Linked DNA regions of Schizosaccharomyces pombe. The main gene of each other region encodes a partner of the protein of the gene in region 3 in a complex. Each region holds a gene or a part of one and is shown on either strand. Other genes may lie near its edges.

What was found.
Region 1: mrp21 (region 3) and mrps17 share a complex: the UniProt entries of both Schizosaccharomyces pombe proteins name them as parts of the mitochondrial small ribosomal subunit.
Region 2: mrp21 (region 3) and snr1 share a complex: the UniProt entries of both Schizosaccharomyces pombe proteins name them as parts of the mitochondrial small ribosomal subunit.
Region 4: mrp21 (region 3) and rsm27 share a complex: the UniProt entries of both Schizosaccharomyces pombe proteins name them as parts of the mitochondrial small ribosomal subunit.

The regions. Positions count from the first base shown.
Region 1 is NC_003423.3:1,165,759-1,169,451, reverse strand, and holds mrps17 (mitochondrial 37S ribosomal protein uS17m), read left to right. Parts: upstream 1-2,154; 5' UTR 2,155-2,247; coding exon 2,248-2,520; 3' UTR 2,521-2,932; downstream 2,933-3,693. Other genes in the region: DNA recombination protein Saw1, read left to right, coding at 403-765; rRNA processing protein Tsr2, read right to left, coding at 1,118-1,390, 1,652-1,918; rib4 (6,7-dimethyl-8-ribityllumazine synthase), read right to left, coding at 3,205-3,642. UniProt on the Schizosaccharomyces pombe protein: Component of the mitochondrial ribosome (mitoribosome), a dedicated translation machinery responsible for the synthesis of mitochondrial genome-encoded proteins, including at least some of the essential transmembrane subunits of the mitochondrial respiratory chain.
Region 2 is NC_003423.3:2,979,188-2,983,357, reverse strand, and holds snr1 (mitochondrial 37S ribosomal protein mS47 ), read right to left. Parts: upstream 2,357-4,170; 5' UTR 2,297-2,356; coding exon 1,007-2,296; 3' UTR 918-1,006; downstream 1-917. Other genes in the region: fib1 (fibrillarin, rRNA and histone methyltransferase), read left to right, coding at 1-594; yml6 (mitochondrial 54S ribosomal protein uL4m), read left to right, coding at 2,912-3,697; mmp1 (endopeptidase catalytic subunit), read left to right, coding at 3,889-4,016, 4,060-4,170. UniProt on the Schizosaccharomyces pombe protein: Component of the mitochondrial ribosome (mitoribosome), a dedicated translation machinery responsible for the synthesis of mitochondrial genome-encoded proteins, including at least some of the essential transmembrane subunits of the mitochondrial respiratory chain.
Region 3 is NC_003423.3:616,406-620,249, reverse strand, and holds mrp21 (mitochondrial 37S ribosomal protein bS21m), read left to right. Parts: upstream 1-2,076; 5' UTR 2,077-2,111; coding exon 2,112-2,187; intron 2,188-2,281; coding exon 2,282-2,571; 3' UTR 2,572-3,059; downstream 3,060-3,844. Other genes in the region: U1 snRNP-associated protein Usp107, read right to left, coding at 1-1,828, 1,878-1,896; its8 (pig-N family GPI synthesis protein), read left to right, coding at 3,784-3,844. UniProt on the Schizosaccharomyces pombe protein: Component of the mitochondrial ribosome (mitoribosome), a dedicated translation machinery responsible for the synthesis of mitochondrial genome-encoded proteins, including at least some of the essential transmembrane subunits of the mitochondrial respiratory chain.
Region 4 is NC_003423.3:3,070,047-3,075,262, forward strand, and holds rsm27 (mitochondrial 37S ribosomal protein mS33), read left to right. Parts: upstream 1-2,207; 5' UTR 2,208-2,347; coding exon 2,348-2,583; intron 2,584-2,648; coding exon 2,649-2,686; intron 2,687-2,739; coding exon 2,740-2,747; 3' UTR 2,748-2,941; downstream 2,942-5,216. Other genes in the region: pyruvate dehydrogenase e1 component beta subunit Pdb1, read left to right, coding at 497-1,597; gpi1 (pig-Q), read right to left, coding at 2,942-4,903. UniProt on the Schizosaccharomyces pombe protein: Component of the mitochondrial ribosome (mitoribosome), a dedicated translation machinery responsible for the synthesis of mitochondrial genome-encoded proteins, including at least some of the essential transmembrane subunits of the mitochondrial respiratory chain.

The DNA.
Region 1 (3,693 bases), 550 kb from region 3:
TCGAAAAGATAATATGTTGGTCACAACTACTTTTCACAATACTTTTAGCCCTAATGTCTGCTCGTTTGCTATAATGAAAAAGACACCATTTTGATCGTTTACATCTCGATATATTTATTTGTTGTTAGATTCTCTCTTTTGAAGGATTATTGTTGTTCATATACTTAACTACTTGGCTAGTTAAAAAATAAATAATAAATAGCATTCCTAAAAAGTCGTTATGTTTACGACTCATTTACTTGACTGTATTCCCATCTTAGAATTGAAATTTATAAGTCGTCTTTTGTTGTATATAATTTAACTTAATACATGGAGTATTGAGAAATTCAAAGAGTTTTGTCATTTGCTTTTTTTGGCTATGGTTGACCATCCTCCCGTATCTAACCAGACACCAAGGTGCAAATGTGTTCTGTTGAGAAAATTGTGAGGTTGAGGCATAACTTGTTGTGTCACGTTCGAATTCATTTTAAAACAAAAGAAGACCTTGATATTCGGGCTTTCCTTTTTTCCCTACAGCGTGAATTGCATGCAGTTGCATTTCTCAACCAAGGATCCATCCGCACGCTCTACGAGAAAAGAGTAGTGGATATTACGAGTGAATCGGTCCAAAGCCATGCAATCATCGAAACTGCTAGAAATTTTGCACTACCAAATACTGCTGAAGAGGAGGAAAACATGGATCGAAAGCCAGAATTGCAGTTGAGTTTTAAAGGATCAATGACTAGTAAAATAATACATATTTATGTACAACCATTCGATTCATGAAAGAATGTATTTTGCGCCTTTTTACGTCTGCATGACTAAAATACACTCTATTTACAGCCTAATCTCATAAAAAACAAGTATTAAAAATTTGAGAAGTGAAAAAGCTGCTCAATTTAACTCGTATTCGTATTTTGGCGGATCACGTTCTTCTATACTTTTAACTACATCTTCTTATGACACGGATTACAAAGGCTTAAAAAATATAAGAGTTATTTCGATCCCAATTTTCAATTTTCAAACCAAAAACTTGAATTTTTATTATCCCCCAAAATACAAAAAAGATAAAACCAATTGCTCCCAGCAATAATGCTCATTTAATGATACCAAAAGATATAAGAATAGTACATCCTCTTTAACGACGTCTTTTCTGGACAACGGTGAATCCATCATCATCAACAATGGGTCCCTGCTGCTTTTCCTGCTGATTTTGAGCAGCTCCTCCATCCTCAGCATCAACAATCGTTTCGTCTTCTACCAATACCGGAGGATTTGACTCTTCTCTAGTTTTTTCCTTTCCTTCCTCCTTTTCAAGCAATTGTTTTCCGAGACGCTCATGGATTTCACGAATAGGTTCATAATTATCTTCGCAAGCAGCTTTCCACACATTAACCAAATCTTGAGCCAACTAAATAGACTGTTAATAGACGTATCACTTGATAATTATTTTAAATGCTAATAGAAGTAAAAAATTTTTAATATAGACAACAGAACGCAATATGTGTATAAACTCGAGCTTTTGACTAATATTCCAATATTTCGTCCTCAAACTTAAATCATTTTTTCGGTGCCAATATATATATACGAATCTTCAGTCTCAAGCAAGCTTGTTACGTTCTTTCTTGTTTGAAAAAAATCTTTACCTAATTTAGTATTGGTGAATACTTACGATATAGGGTGAGTCGTCTTCTATTGAACCAACATTGAATTCATCCTGCAGGACTTGAAGAATCAATTCTTCAACGTCCCATGCTTCCACATCGCTCGTAACTGTAATATAATCAACTAAAACTCCTGCCATCCAGTCTCGTTTATCGGCGGTATCGACATCGGCCCATTCTTCTTCAACAGCCTGTTTCATAACAGGCCATGAACATAAAAGAACACCGACAGCATATTCAAAATATGTCAGTCTCTTAGATGGGTCGTCAAACATGGCGAAAACACAGTGTCAATAACCCTCGTTCTTCTTCTCTACAAAGTCACCCTACCATAAAGTACTTTAAAATAAAATACACATACTTTTCCGATCCTCGTTATGTTGTTTATCACATTTATATATTATCATTAATTGACTTAAGGAAAGCTTATTTATGTTAAATAATTATAAGGGAAAAGACGCCGCTTCATTGCACATTTGTAAATAGGGCAATGTCAAAACTCTCTACTGCTAAAACGGTGCGCATTGATAACTTAGTTATTGTGGGTATTTAAAGGATTAGACTTACTTACTTTTCTTGTTTAATCCTAAAATTACTCTGAAGAATGAAGCTAAATTATGTGGGAATCGTGATTTCTCGTGCAATGCCAAAAACAGCGAAAGTGCGGGTTGCAAAAGAAAAGTTCCATCCAGTGGTGAAAAAGTATGTCACCCAATATCAAAACTATATGGTTCAAGATGATTTAAATTGTAATGTTGGAGATGCAGTTACAATACAGCCATGTAGGCCTCGGTCAGCGACTAAACGCTTTGAAATCATAAAAATCTTAAGCACAGCCAACCGTATGAGCCCAGCATCGGAGATTTCGAAAGAGTAAATAAAAAATCCCCATTAATTTTTGATGATTCCTAATGATTTCGATTGATCCATTGTGATAAGTCTTTCGCGGTGGTCATGAATATTGTAAATCGGTGATTGACCGCTCTTTCTTAACTTGCCAATTACCTGTATACACCGATATCGATTTTAACTGGAAATTTTTACATTCACAATGGCTACGTAATGTTGCAAATTGTAGATTGTGCATCAGAAGAGTCTCAAATCACATTCATTTCTAAAAGAAAACTACTCTTGTAGTACCATGTTTCCTGCTCCCAGCATTCAATGCCTTTAAATTTGTTTACAACTATGTCAATAATACTTCTGTAACATCTTTTTTTGTAAAAAGGGCAAGTGATTGAACAAGATGCATATAGACAGTAATATATTCAAAATAAAGCTTACAAAACATAATAAGTTGGGATTAAGTCTTAAGCAAATTTAAAACATCGTATACATTAACCCATAGCTGTATATCTTAACAAACTGGGGAATCATGAAAATACGTTGCAAACGATTGAATGAAAAACATACTTGTTCAACTAAGACGGTGCTCATAAGAAAGCGACAATGTATAAAGGATCATGACTAAAGCTTTAGCATGTCAGTAGGTCCTTTCGAAGAGCAAAACAGTCAGTAGCATATTTTATTAACAAAAAAATGAGCAAAGGATTCAACTTAATTAATACAAAGCTTTCAATCCCATCTCTACAGCAGCTGATCCCCAATCATTTCCATGGTTATGGCCACCATTCAAACCTGCACGATAAAGAGCTTGCTCTTCATTTAAAACTGTTAATAGACCTAGAATGACGGGAACACCTGAATCAAGGCCAACGCGCATAAGACCATGAACAACAGCTTCTGAAATATATTCAAAATGCATGGTGGAACCTTTGATTAAAACGCCAATGCCAATAACAGCATCATATGTATTGCGGGCGATGGAAGCACGAATACCTTGAGGAAGTTCCCAACTTCCCGGAACACTTTCAATGTCAATATTCTCCAACTTCACATCATGTTTTTCTATCATGGTCTCAACGGCACCCTTAACAAGAGGCTCAATGGCTTGAAGATTCCAGCGGGCATGGACAATAAGAATGCGCAATTCTGGTCCCTATAAAAAAAATTGATTAGAACTTTTGAATTAACTATTTTCACGAAAAAA
Region 2 (4,170 bases), 2.4 Mb from region 3:
CGTATTAGCGTTGATTCCCCAGATGGTACCAAAGTTGAATACCGTGTATGGAATCCTTTCCGTTCTAAACTTGCCGCAGGTATTTTGGGCGGTTTAGACAACATCTATATTAAACCTGGTGCACGTGTTTTATATCTTGGTGCTGCTAACGGTACATCCGTTTCTCACGTTGCTGATGTTGTTGGTCCTGAGGGTCTTGTCTACGCTGTTGAGTTTTCTCATCGTTCTGGACGTGATCTTCTTAACATGGCTAAAAAGCGCACGAATGTCATCCCCATTGTTGAGGATGCTCGCCATGTTCAAAAGTATCGTATGTTAGTCGGAATGGTTGACGTTGTTTTTGCAGACGTTGCTCAACCCGATCAGGCTCGTATCGTTGCTTTGAACGCCGCCGCCTTTTTGAAAAACGAAGGTGGAGTTGTTATCTCTGTTAAGGCTTCTTGTATTGATTCTACCGCTGATGCAGCTGTTGTTTTTGCTCGTGAGGTTAAGAAAATGCAAGAGGAAAAGATTAAACCTCAAGAACAACTTACTTTAGAGCCTTACGAACGTGATCACTGTATCATCGTAGGAAAATACTTGAGACATCAGTAAACAGAAATATATGCCATAAGTGCATGCTTTTTTAGTTTATCATATAATTTTTTTTGCTAGAAAAGCTTATGGTAAGGCCGTGAGCAATTGGAATAATAAAAATATATTTTGGGTATGCGTTTGGCAGTTTTGTCAATTATTTTCTCATTGTTTGATCCAATATGGGAATTATGGAATATATATTAATGCCGTTAGCATTCTTTTTTTTGAACTATCGTACGCACAGCTACCGAAAAAGAGTTTTAGTATGAGTATTTAAAATGGCTATCATTATTTTTAGCTGCTAAAAAGAGTTATGTGCTTTATCGCATGCTAAAACATAACAGGGTCTTTGAAATAAATCATCTTATTATAATACTGAAAAAACTTAGTAGACATAAAGAACAATATTTAATTTATGTAACCTTTGGGATTATAAATAAGGATAAGTCTTATAATTCCAAAGGGGAGTTTTACGTCTTCCTTTTGCAGCAAAAGATATCCCATTATTGTATTCTGAAGGCAACTTGAAATAGTTTTCTAAATCTTTAAAGTGATATTCATGGGATTTGCTCCATTTTGGATTTTTGGTCTTTGTAATAAGTTGAGCATTAACACCTTCAACAAAATCAGGCTGTTTAAGCATATAATAGGAAACGATATGATCATAGTAAAATGCTTCAGATATACTCCACTTAGCAGCAGACTTAATAAGTCGATTGGTAACAGCAATTGAAGTCGGAGATTTGCTATACAATGTTTTAACGGTAGATTTTGCAAATTCCGCTAAAGCACTAGTGTTTGAAGCATATTCTTTTAACGCACGAATAATATCAACGGTATCATTTTTGCAGAAGCATTTATTAATGACATCCATAACGTCTGGAGTAAAAGTGGGTGGTGAACTGCTAGCAAATTCGGCAAATTCCAGGATTGTATTATTGATTTTAGAAATATCAGACGTGTTTAACTCTGCAAGCCTGTCCTCCAAATGAGGAAACATATGCTTCGGAACGAAATGAGTTGCAATTCCAGTACGCAGGCAATCATATCCTTTTACGATTTGAGATGTCAATCCCAGATAAGTTCCAAAGTATCCTGGTAGTCTACTGAAGAAGAAACTGGCAGCCACGTCAGTAAAATAGCCAATTCCGGTTTCTGGCATAGCAAACATCGTATCTTCACACGCAATACGGAAAGGAACATGCATAGCCAAACCAGATCCACCTCCCATGGTGATGCCATTCATCAAAGCCACAACTGGTTTCTGGTATGTAGCTAACGTATGGCTTAATCGATACTCTTGAGCAAATGCATGGCGAACTTCAGGTAATTTTCCATCTTGTATTGAAAGTGCTGCAGCTTTAATGTCACCTCCCGAACTAAAAGAGCGACCATTTCCTTTAAGAATAATTACCTTGGCCAGATTTGATTCTTCTAATGAAACTAGCTTTGGTAGGATTGAATCTATCATGTCAACGTTGATAGCGTTCAATACTTTTGGCCTGTTTAAAGTAAATATCCTTGCTCCATTTTTACTCTCGTATAAAACTGTATCATTTGAGGAAGTGCTATAAAATTTTGGATTTCGAATAAACGCTCTAGACATGGTGCTACTTGCATTCAAAGAAAGGAAATTTGACACACTTGTTTTAAGTAAGGATTGCCTTAACATAAATCCAGATTTTTTCAAATCGTTAGAGATATTTAATTTCAATCCCATGAAAGCTAACCAAGTTAAATAACACCGATTATTTTTGCATAGACGGTTAACGTCTCTTCTACGTTACTTTATAACGAAGTGTGTTCTTAATTGTGAACTAATAACAAATCACAAAAGACCATTCGTAAAACAAAGTAGGTTTCCATGCATTAGCTGGGCAAATACTTGTCTCAAAAAATCTATATTTAGTATTAATTTAGTTTCTCAGGGTTTGTCGATTTTAAAAGTCTTAAACCACTTGTTGCATAGCATTGAGTACTCAAAACTGTTATTGTAATACACAGGTGCTATTTGCAACAACAATTTAAGGTGTCAGAATGAGCAAATTCCAAATATTTAATGTACGACATCACATAGTATAAATAATTATTTCTTCTATTTTAGGTAATGAATGAGATATCATTAATTTATCTAACAGTATACAGTCATAAAGTTCCTGTTGCATAAAACAACGTAATTTAATGAACTCGATACTTTACGCTTTACGATACTTTTGAATGCACAATATGTTATAATGAAATGCATTGTGATACTTAGTACATTGTGTTAGACTAATTGAAAGTAAAATACATCCATTCTTCAGGTACTAGTCGTCCATTTCACAAACTAATCAGAATGACAGCAAAAATGTTGCACTTGGTGCGATATAAATTTCCGTCGTTGGAGCCCGCGAGTCTTTTTCTTATTCCCGGAAGTTTCCTGCAAGAAAGATTTCGTCGAGATATTTTGCATCGTGCCGTTATTTATGAAGCAGATAATGACCGTCAAGGCACTGCTAGCTCAAAGCGCCGAAATGAAATTACTTGTTCCGGTCGAAAACTTTATCGACAAAAAGGTACAGGACATGCACGGGTAGGCGATGCCTCAAGTCCTATAAGAAGAGGTGGTGCTAAATCACATGGTCCTAAGCCTAGAGATTTCAGTACAAAATTACAAACCCAAGTTTATAATTTAGCAATGAGGATTGCGCTAAGTACAAGATTTATTAATAATGAACTGACCATCCTTGAAAATCCCATCAACTTAAGTCAACCAAAAACACGGATTTTGCTTGAAGTTTTGAAGCAACACAAGTTAGGACACGAGTACGGGAAGGCACTTTTTGTCCTTAACGATAATTACTTTGAAGATGAGTCCCTTAAAAATAATAATTTATTGCTTGCATCTAGACAGTTAGGCTACCATTGCTCCTTTATTCCTGTTGGTGAGTTTCAGGTTCGAGATGCACTAAAATTCGGTAAACTATTTATTGATTCTGAAGCCATGTCGTTAATTGTAGAGAAGTTTGCTCAACGAAATACACTAAGTGATATGGATCAACCTGCTTCCCTGACTGCTTATGTTGATGCAAATAGTAGTTCTTTTACGAAATCAAAACCTGAACCGTCTTTATCTCTATGATATGAAATAAACGCATATCTTTCAATTGTTTTTGAATTTCATGAATCTACATTTTCCGATTTTGGTAGTTACGGAAACATTATAATCCACAATCATTAATTCTTTTTTCAATCCTTTCTCTTGTCGTGTTTAAATTTTTTAATTTCGGCTTATTTAGTTTACTGTCTTGATTAGTTACCTCTTGGTTAACAATGGCTGGCATGTTCCGTATTCCTATTGCCGTCGTTCAGATTGCTGCATTTGTGCATCAAATTCATGAGTATCTTTTTCAAGTGCAAATGACATCGGGTCCAAGTATGATGCCAACATTAAATTCTGGGTATTGAAATAACGCTTTGTATTTATGGTTCTAACTTAAAAAGTGGTGAATTCGTTTTGTTAGATAAATTGCATGGTAGGTTTGCTCGTTCATGTTCTGTAGGAGATGTTGTTGTTTCGGCAAAACCTTCCGATTCAAAGCAACACGTGTGCAA
Region 3 (3,844 bases):
TTGCTCCAGTCAATTGGTAGTGCCCACAGACTTTCTGCTTCAACAGGTATCTTTTCAATAAGTGAACGAAGTCTTTTCGTCTTCTCGGCATCATTTTCTTCCATAGCAGGCTTTGGTTTTTGAGGGTTGGGAGAATAGCCTTGCGGTTCTTCGTCTTCTTCTTCCAAAAGCAGTCTCTCCGGAAGTCCAAATTCTCGTCTTTCAGAAGGAACAGCTGGTTTCTTGGTTTGTATTTTGATTTTGAAGGGACCATTTTCATGTTGAGGCATTTCACTAGTCACCAGCTTACCATTTTCGACATAATTCTCTGTCTCAACGGTTGCACCTTCTCCACGGGTACGTAGTTCTCTTTCTTCCTCCTTTCTGTCAAGAGCATCTGCGTCTTCTTCTCGAGCACGAGCAACTGCACGATGTCTAATCCAAGCAGCACGATCGACAAAATATTCGTCTCGAGATACGCGAGCTTCCTCATCGTCATCAAAAGAAGCTAATTTTTCCGAAAGATAAGTACCAAAGGAAGTGTTATTAACACGTTCTTCTTCTTCACGAGCAGCTTCTCGTTCTAAAGCTGCAGTTCGGGCCTTTTCACGATTCATCCAGCGCCGTTCCCTTGCGTAATACTCTTCAGCCTCCAATTGATCCTTCCTTCTCTTCTCTTCATAATAAGCTTGTTCATCGGAGAACGACTCGGGAATGCTATCTTCTGCTCTTAAAAAGGCATTGACTGTAGACATAGGGATACGTGAAATACGATGTTTTGACAAAAGGTTTTGTAAATCATCATTTTGCTTTCGAAGCTTTTCTTGTTCTTTTCGTGTATACTCTTTATATAAACTGGCATACTCGTCCTTAGACCTTTGTTTTTCTCGTTTTTTCATAGCAGATTGATCGCGAAAGGATCGTATTTCTTCTTCAATAACCGGTAATAATTCAGGATTAATTCCTTCTAAATCAGCAGCATTAATGGGAATTTCCGAAGTTTTGACATTTTGTAGTAATTTTTCGTTTTTCTCTCGGGCCTGTCGAGCTGCCCTTTCAATGCGAGAACGGACATCAAAATTGCCTATATCTTGACAAATTCTTTCGAGGTTAAAGCGAATTTGCTGTAAAATGTTTATCTCTTTCTGCTTATTTCTTGCATAACGACTCGTTTGCCATTCACGATACAATCCCTCATTCTCAACATCTGTAATCAATGACAAGCGAGTTGAAGGACCACCTTCGTACAAAGGTGGAACAACAAAATCATTTAATGCTTCTAATGCTCTACTGAATTGTTCATTTGATTCAAACTCTGCAAATCCAAACGAAGTCATCGAGTTATCTGCATCAGCAACCCTTCGCCAAGAAGCCAGCTTCCCGGACAATCGAAGAATTTTATCCATCCAAAAATCATCCAATTCTTTCGGTATATTACCAATAAAGAGCATCCGCCGCATTTGTTGACTATTTGGAGGGACAAACGGCCGCGATTCCCTTTCTGTTGTAGACTTCTCTGAAGAAGGTGTTTGAAACGTCTGTTTCTCCTGAATCTCATTACTTTTTTGATTTCGGGGTAAGTTTTTTCTATCTTTTTGTTGCGATTCATTATCTCTTAAAACTTGTTTTATGGGAAGTTTACCAAACTTCAGAATTGGCTGCGAAAAATCATAGGGACTACTTGCCTCAACAGGATTATCTACCAAAAAAGCGCCTTGGCCATACAATTTTTTGTATAAGCTCCTGTAATCAGGAGGTAAAGGGGCGAATACAGGTTGGATTGGGACGACATATGGAACGCCGTTGCCAACCATAGGAACCTGTGGCATCATTGGCATACCGGCAGCCTCTAAATAAAATTAGATAAATTCTTTAGCAATGAAATTGAAATTACTTACGCGTATTCTGCCGCTGCATAGTTGTTGGAGGAAAACAGATTCATGTGTATCATGTAAAGGTATATAGTGAAGTGTAAATGTGATTATCCTATTTTTAGTTTATGAATTTTATGTCTTTTACGCTAATGCAAAAAATCGATGTTCAAGGCAATTTAACGAATTCTTTATGCAGTTGTACTGCGGTGAGATTCAGGCTTCTCAAATTGCCAAGAAAACGCAAAATAACTATTTAAAATGAACAGTTCTTATTTCCCAGGTGTTCTAGGGGTCAGATGGGTACATACAAATAGGAAATTGCAAAAGAGAAAAGGTACGAAGAAAATCCATTGAAGTTGCTATTGTCTTTCAAGAATATGATTTTCGATTGTTGGATTATTGTCTGCTAATACTTTATTGATATTTAGAGGAGCATGGTGCGTTCCAAGATTCGCTTCATTTTATGATACCCGCAGCAGAAACAAAAGATTTAGGTGCAAGTGTGACAGTTGGAAATAGTCTAACAAGAGCATTTCGACAAGTTGATAGAATATGTCAAAGGAATAATGTGCCAAGGCTATTCCGTTCACAGAGATTTTATGAAAAACCATCCGAAAAGCGATCCCGCGTTCGTTCAGAAAGACACAGGGCAAGGTTCCGCGCTGGAATTGTTCGACTTGTAAACTTAGCAAAGAACATGCGTCGTTGGGGTTATTGAGTGATTCTTCGAACATTTCATTCTATTTCTTGGTTACGAAAATCCATATTAAATTAATGTATTTGGAGATCGTTGTTCTCATAGCTTTTCATTTAAGACGAGAATGCTCGAAAACCCCCTTTTGAAGTAAAATAATATATTGCTTTTTACTTCTCCGCGGATTTAAGAGCTAGACATTTTTGGGAAATATTCGTTTTTTGTTTTGTCATTTCTAAATTTTTCCTGGTATCTTTGCTTAACCCCTCCCCTATCTTATGATTTTCTACTTAACAGGATTTATTGTCTAATAACTGTCTCTACCTTCTTTTATCTTTTCAGTTTGACAATACTGCGAGATTGAGCTTAATGTTTGCATTACCCTCTAATATTACTATTCTGTTTTGCTAGCCTATAACAATTTTCTTAGTTAAATCGATGAGTTTGTTACTCTATTTATTCAAACTAATGCTGGTCGCAGGAAGTTATTACTTCTGCATGTTATAATAAATGAATTCGTTTCCTTTCGTATTGCAAATGATTTTTTTATTATTGGCCATGTAGCAGCAATTTGATGGTTGTATCCCTTTATCTTATTATAATCGTCATGAGTAAACCGACTCTCAACGTGTAACAACCAAATATGCTTACCGCTGAATTTTCATTAATCTTGGATTTGAGCAATGAAATGATAACCATCCATTTTACATTTCTGTCAACGGAAATTAAAATAATACCGAAAATATCCATTTACAGAATCATTTTTTGCTTAATTACCAGATGACTATAAGTCCCATTATTGTGCACTGCATACCATAAAGTAATTTATCACTTCCTTAATAGATTTCTGATTATTTACTCTTTCATCCAGCTAGAACTAATTACGCATATTGGCCATAGCTCACAATATACGATGGAGCGCTACCACTATTCATTAGTGCATTCAAACACGGCATCCTTAATTACAAAACTCAGTATACATTCATTAGCGTTCGCTTATTCATTAGATCGAGCGTAGATCATCTGAATTTTAACCAATGGTAGATTAAAGGGGACTTCTGTTGATGTTTGTAACGACTCAACACTCAAACGCACTTCACCAGAACAAAACACTTCTTGCCTTGTTTAGGGCATCCTTCTTTTCCAAGAAGCGTCCTGGCATCTATCCAATTTTTGCCAAAAACCCCTAGTATTCCCAGTCAATTGTGGTAGTGGTTTCACGCTTAAATTTTCGCAATGTTTGGTCGCCTCTTGCTGTTAGGGATTTTATTCCATGTCGTCTTTCTCAAATCCATTT
Region 4 (5,216 bases), 2.5 Mb from region 3:
ATTATGCATCAATTTGAACCACAACTTTAGGCTGTTTTAACTTCTCGTTCATCACCTTTTTGTCGGTGTTTATGCTCTGCTTTTCGGATATCGCCCTTAGGAGTTCAAACGATCTATTGCGGCAATCAATTTTGAGCACCGTATCTAGTGATAACAAATTATCTTTATCGGTTAAGCACGTTATTGCAGCTGCTTCAGTATGTACACATTTCACTATTTAGCAAAAATAAGATGAAACAAATGATACTACTAAGAGGTTATAATCATATCAGACTGTTTAACCATTCTTTTGTCATTTGCAATAAACACAAAATTTATAAAAGTGGTAGTATTCTTGTTAATCATCTACGTACTGTATTTAATTTGTTGTACCATAAGCCAACTCGAAATATTTTACCATCACACTGTTCTACTTTGCCCACTACACATATACAACAACACAGCGGGATAGCCCTAATTTTTAACGAAGTTAAAAAGAAGTTTGAGGGAATTTAAAATGATTCGTCTTCAAAAGTTTGGTGAAATTGTTGGGACCAGTCGTTCTTGGAAACTTCTTAGTTCAACCATCGCAAAGCGCTATTCTTCTTCTTCCAATGGAGTGAAGGAAATGACCGTTCGTGATGCTTTGAACAGTGCAATGGAAGAAGAAATGAAACGTGACGATCGTGTCTTCTTGATTGGCGAAGAGGTTGCGCAATACAATGGTGCTTATAAGATATCTAGAGGTTTATTAGACAAGTTTGGTCCTAAACGTGTTATCGACACTCCCATTACTGAAATGGGTTTTACTGGTTTGGCAACAGGTGCTGCTTTTGCTGGTTTACGTCCTATTTGTGAGTTTATGACTTTCAATTTTTCCATGCAGGCTATCGATCATATCGTTAACTCGGCCGCCAGAACCCTGTACATGTCTGGTGGTATTCAGGCTTGTCCTATTGTCTTCCGTGGACCTAATGGGCCTGCCGCTGCAGTTGCTGCTCAGCATTCTCAACACTTTGCTCCATGGTATGGTAGTATCCCTGGTCTTAAAGTAGTTTCTCCTTACTCAGCAGAAGATGCTCGTGGTTTGTTGAAGGCTGCTATTCGTGATCCTAATCCCGTTGTTGTACTTGAAAACGAAATTCTTTATGGTAAAACCTTTCCAATTTCGAAAGAAGCGTTGAGCGAGGACTTTGTGCTTCCCTTTGGCCTTGCTAAGGTGGAGCGCCCCGGTAAAGATATCACCATCGTTGGTGAGTCTATTTCTGTTGTTACTGCTTTAGAAGCAGCTGACAAGCTCAAGGCTGACTATGGTGTTGAAGCTGAAGTTATAAACTTGCGTAGTATTCGTCCTTTAGACATCAATACTATCGCGGCCAGTGTTAAGAAGACAAATCGTATTGTGACTGTTGACCAGGCATATAGTCAACATGGTATTGGTAGTGAAATTGCTGCTCAAATTATGGAGTCTGACGCATTTGATTATCTTGATGCTCCTGTTGAACGTGTAAGTATGGCAGATGTTCCCATGCCTTATAGTCATCCTGTTGAGGCTGCTTCTGTCCCAAATGCCGATGTTGTTGTTGCTGCTGCTAAAAAATGCTTGTATATTAAATAACAAGCTCAATTGTTGAGTCATCTGTTTAATAAAACCCGCTCTTTTCCCTTTTCCGAATAGTTGATATCTACGTATTTCGCTTTCTATTATTTTTACATTATCTACAAAGTGTAAATATCTAAGATGCTTGTCTTTAATGACTCAGATTATTGTGTGTGGGTCTTAGATGGTTTTAATTTCTTTGCAATTATTTGCGAAGATATGATTTTTCCAACCATCTTTCCAATTGGTTATCCGGGTTGGTATATCTACCTTTCAGGATAGTTTTGCTTCGTTTATCCTTAATATATGTTATATTGTATATATTACTAAATTCGTGTAAGTTTTTTAACGTAATCTGAAAGCCAGTGAACTTCAATTATATTATATTACAGCTAATGGAAATAATACGCTATATGAATATGTTCAACTATTTGGTGTCTATTATACTCTACTTAACTACTCGTAACCTCTTAAAGCGTAGAATATTAAGTACTTGATCCCACTAAACCTATTTACAGGTCTATCTTTAGTCAATGCACCAAAATGTTTCCATGTGGGGTTGATGAACTACTTATCCCACATCATCCGCTGTAGTATATCTAAGTAGACTTGCGCTAATAATACTTACAATAACAGAATTTCAGAATCCTTGCAGATGAAATCATAGTAGTGTCTTTAGCCTTATTATTGTTGTTTTTATTTCGTTTTGCCTTTAACTTTAAGCAACCACATTCCCTAGGAGCCTTCCCTAATTTTTGGTATAAAATCATGGCTAGCAAAGCAATCCTGGAAGAATTAAATATTCTCTCATCAAAAATATTTGGCACTCAGTATAAATCAAACAACTCGAGAACGGGTCGCAAATTTGTAGTACAAGAGCTGAAGGGAGCAAAACTGAAGAGCTACTATCCCGCAACTATCAATTATCGTCAATTAAGGACCCTTTTAAATGATAAAACATTTCCCGATAGTGATGAGGAATTGCGAATGGAAATCAGGAAAGGGTATGTTAGTTGTTAATTGAGATTGAATGTTTCTTTCACAAGAAATTAGCTAATTAAAATACTAGGAGAATACGCCAAGGAAAAGGAGCCTCCAAGTCAAAAAGTATGTAAAGCTTACTATAAAACCGAATTAGGAACCTTCTAACTCCTGTTTAGAAAAATAAATAATTGAAAATTGTGCCTTTCTAATACTTTGCGGTTACATTTCGCACATTTTCTTTCCAATTATTATCAAATGGGTAACGGCTAAACAGCTTTGAACGAAACTGATAAACTAAGTTTAATTATAAAAATTTTGTTGTTTCATAAACAAAAAATATTATATATCAACTGTGTGCAACAATACTTAACATTTTGATCAGTCGTAAGGAAATTTTTTCTGATGAAAAAGAAGATCTCGCAGTTTTCTAATAGATATTCTTTTGGTCGGAAGCATAGCGTACTGGATATTGTAGAGTTGCTCAGCAGGTATCGCTGGAACTGGGCAACCTACGAGCAAACTAATCAAAGTAGTTTTTGAAAGGTAATGCGAAATTAACCTACGCGCCAGTTTCCGATAATGCTCAAACATGGATCCAAGAGACATCGGTTTGGAGTTGCAATTGAGATATAGCGTTGCGAAGCCGTCTTGTTTTAATGGTTCAAAGCTGACTATCTCAAAATTCAGCCCACTTGGTATTCTATAAGGATCTTTAATTCGTAACATTGTAACAAATAATGGGAAGTGATTCAGGAAGGCTAACATAGTTTCACAGATTGCCAAGCATGTCATCACGGATACTCGTGTTAATGCAAATGCTGCATAGAAAACATATATTGTAGGTAAGAAGAATATTAGTACCGTAAAAAGGATTGTTCCTAAAAGTAGTTGGTCTAAATCATACTCATATGAGTCGATTCTATTTCGTAAAACGTTTCTTTTTTTTCCTCGAAAAAGCTGCAGCAAACTATAAATTACACGTAGCTGCCAATTATACAAACGTGATGAAGCCAAATAAAGCAAATGTATATGAATAGTCATAACACTTAAAAAATCAGAAATTAAAGCGATCATTAAACTAGCACCCCCAAACCCAGAAATAGCGACAACTTGAACCAAAAATGGAGTCCAAGGCAAACAATGCAAAAGAAAATTACTCCATACGTCAATAACCCATACAGAAAGCTTCATAATAAACTTGCAAATGTCGTTGTTTAGTTTTAATCCAGCAGGAGTATCCACGAGCCATATAACCATAGAACGAACGTTTTTTATCGCATACTCGAATGTGATATTTTCTATTAATTTTACCACCAGATGAAGATTCTCTAAAATAAATGAACTCATTGTAATCCCAAAGATCATGTCATTCGCAACCAACCAAAGGTTGTTATAGAATCTAATATATTCTTTGTAATCCTCTATCGCAACGCGCTTGCTTTTCCGAAAAACCCATAATTTCATATATTGTACAGGCCAAAAACACGCTTGTTGCAACCTCAAATCTACTTGACGAGCAGAAACGAAAATATCCATCATATTATAAGATAAAGGAATCGGTCGGTAATTAATCGCCAAGAGTATAACCTCATTAATTATCCTCAATAATATGATAAAGTAAGCAAACAGCGAATTAAAAAAATAAAAGGTTGATGACGAGACACGATCAAAAAGTCGAAAAACATATGAATTTTTTTTGTTATTATTTTCATGTGTTAACATGCGAACCTCGAAGGATTGATTAAGAAGCTCAATTAAGCCTGAGCGTAGACTCCTTTTCCAGCTATTTTCTTTGCGTCGGGGAAAGTGCAATTTCAATTTTTTTAACAGTATTTGCTGGTGTTGCATGCTTTCGTATTCAGGGTTTGACTTGTTAATAAAACTATCTTTTAACAATAAAAGCGATAGAGGTTCAAGGGAAAGAAATTGCATTTTTCTTGGCTGCGGAGGATGATAATAAATTATATGCAGATTTATTTTTAAAGGCGTACTAGCCGAATCGAAAACTCGGGGATGAGAAAGCTCAGTCGATTGCTGCACTTTGATCCAACAATCAATTTCATATTTGTCACCCGGCAAAATATCGGCAGAGCAATTAAACGTGCCTAATATACACAGAGATTTAATATCTACTGATTGATCTTGATTTTTGCAATAATCAACTAAAAAATTAGCGAAGGATTGATAACTAGTAATTGTTGTCACAACGATAAGATCGTTGGTAGAGTACTTCCAACCAACTAAGTAACCAGAATCGGTATAAGAGATCGTACTTTTGGGCCAATATATCCGTTTCACTTCAATTGGAGCCGAAGCTATATTCATGGTTGTGGTAGACATTTGAAATATAATATTGAATGCTCTGAAGTCAATTCCGAAGTGTTTAATAAAAAAGACAAACAAGTAATAACAGACTTTAGAAGCATACAAAAAACTTTTGTTAAGAAAAATATAACAGGAGATGATACTGCTCTCTCCGGTGTTTAGAACTCAAGTTGTAAAATCAAAAACTTCCTCGACGTAAAAGCTGTTCCCTTGCAGAAATGCCACCGCTAACTGACGTTGAGTTACGAGCTTCGGATTCAGCGATTCGTTCTAAAAGAATGAAAATAAAAAATCCTAAAACGGTAAACAGTAGTACGTATGAAGGAAC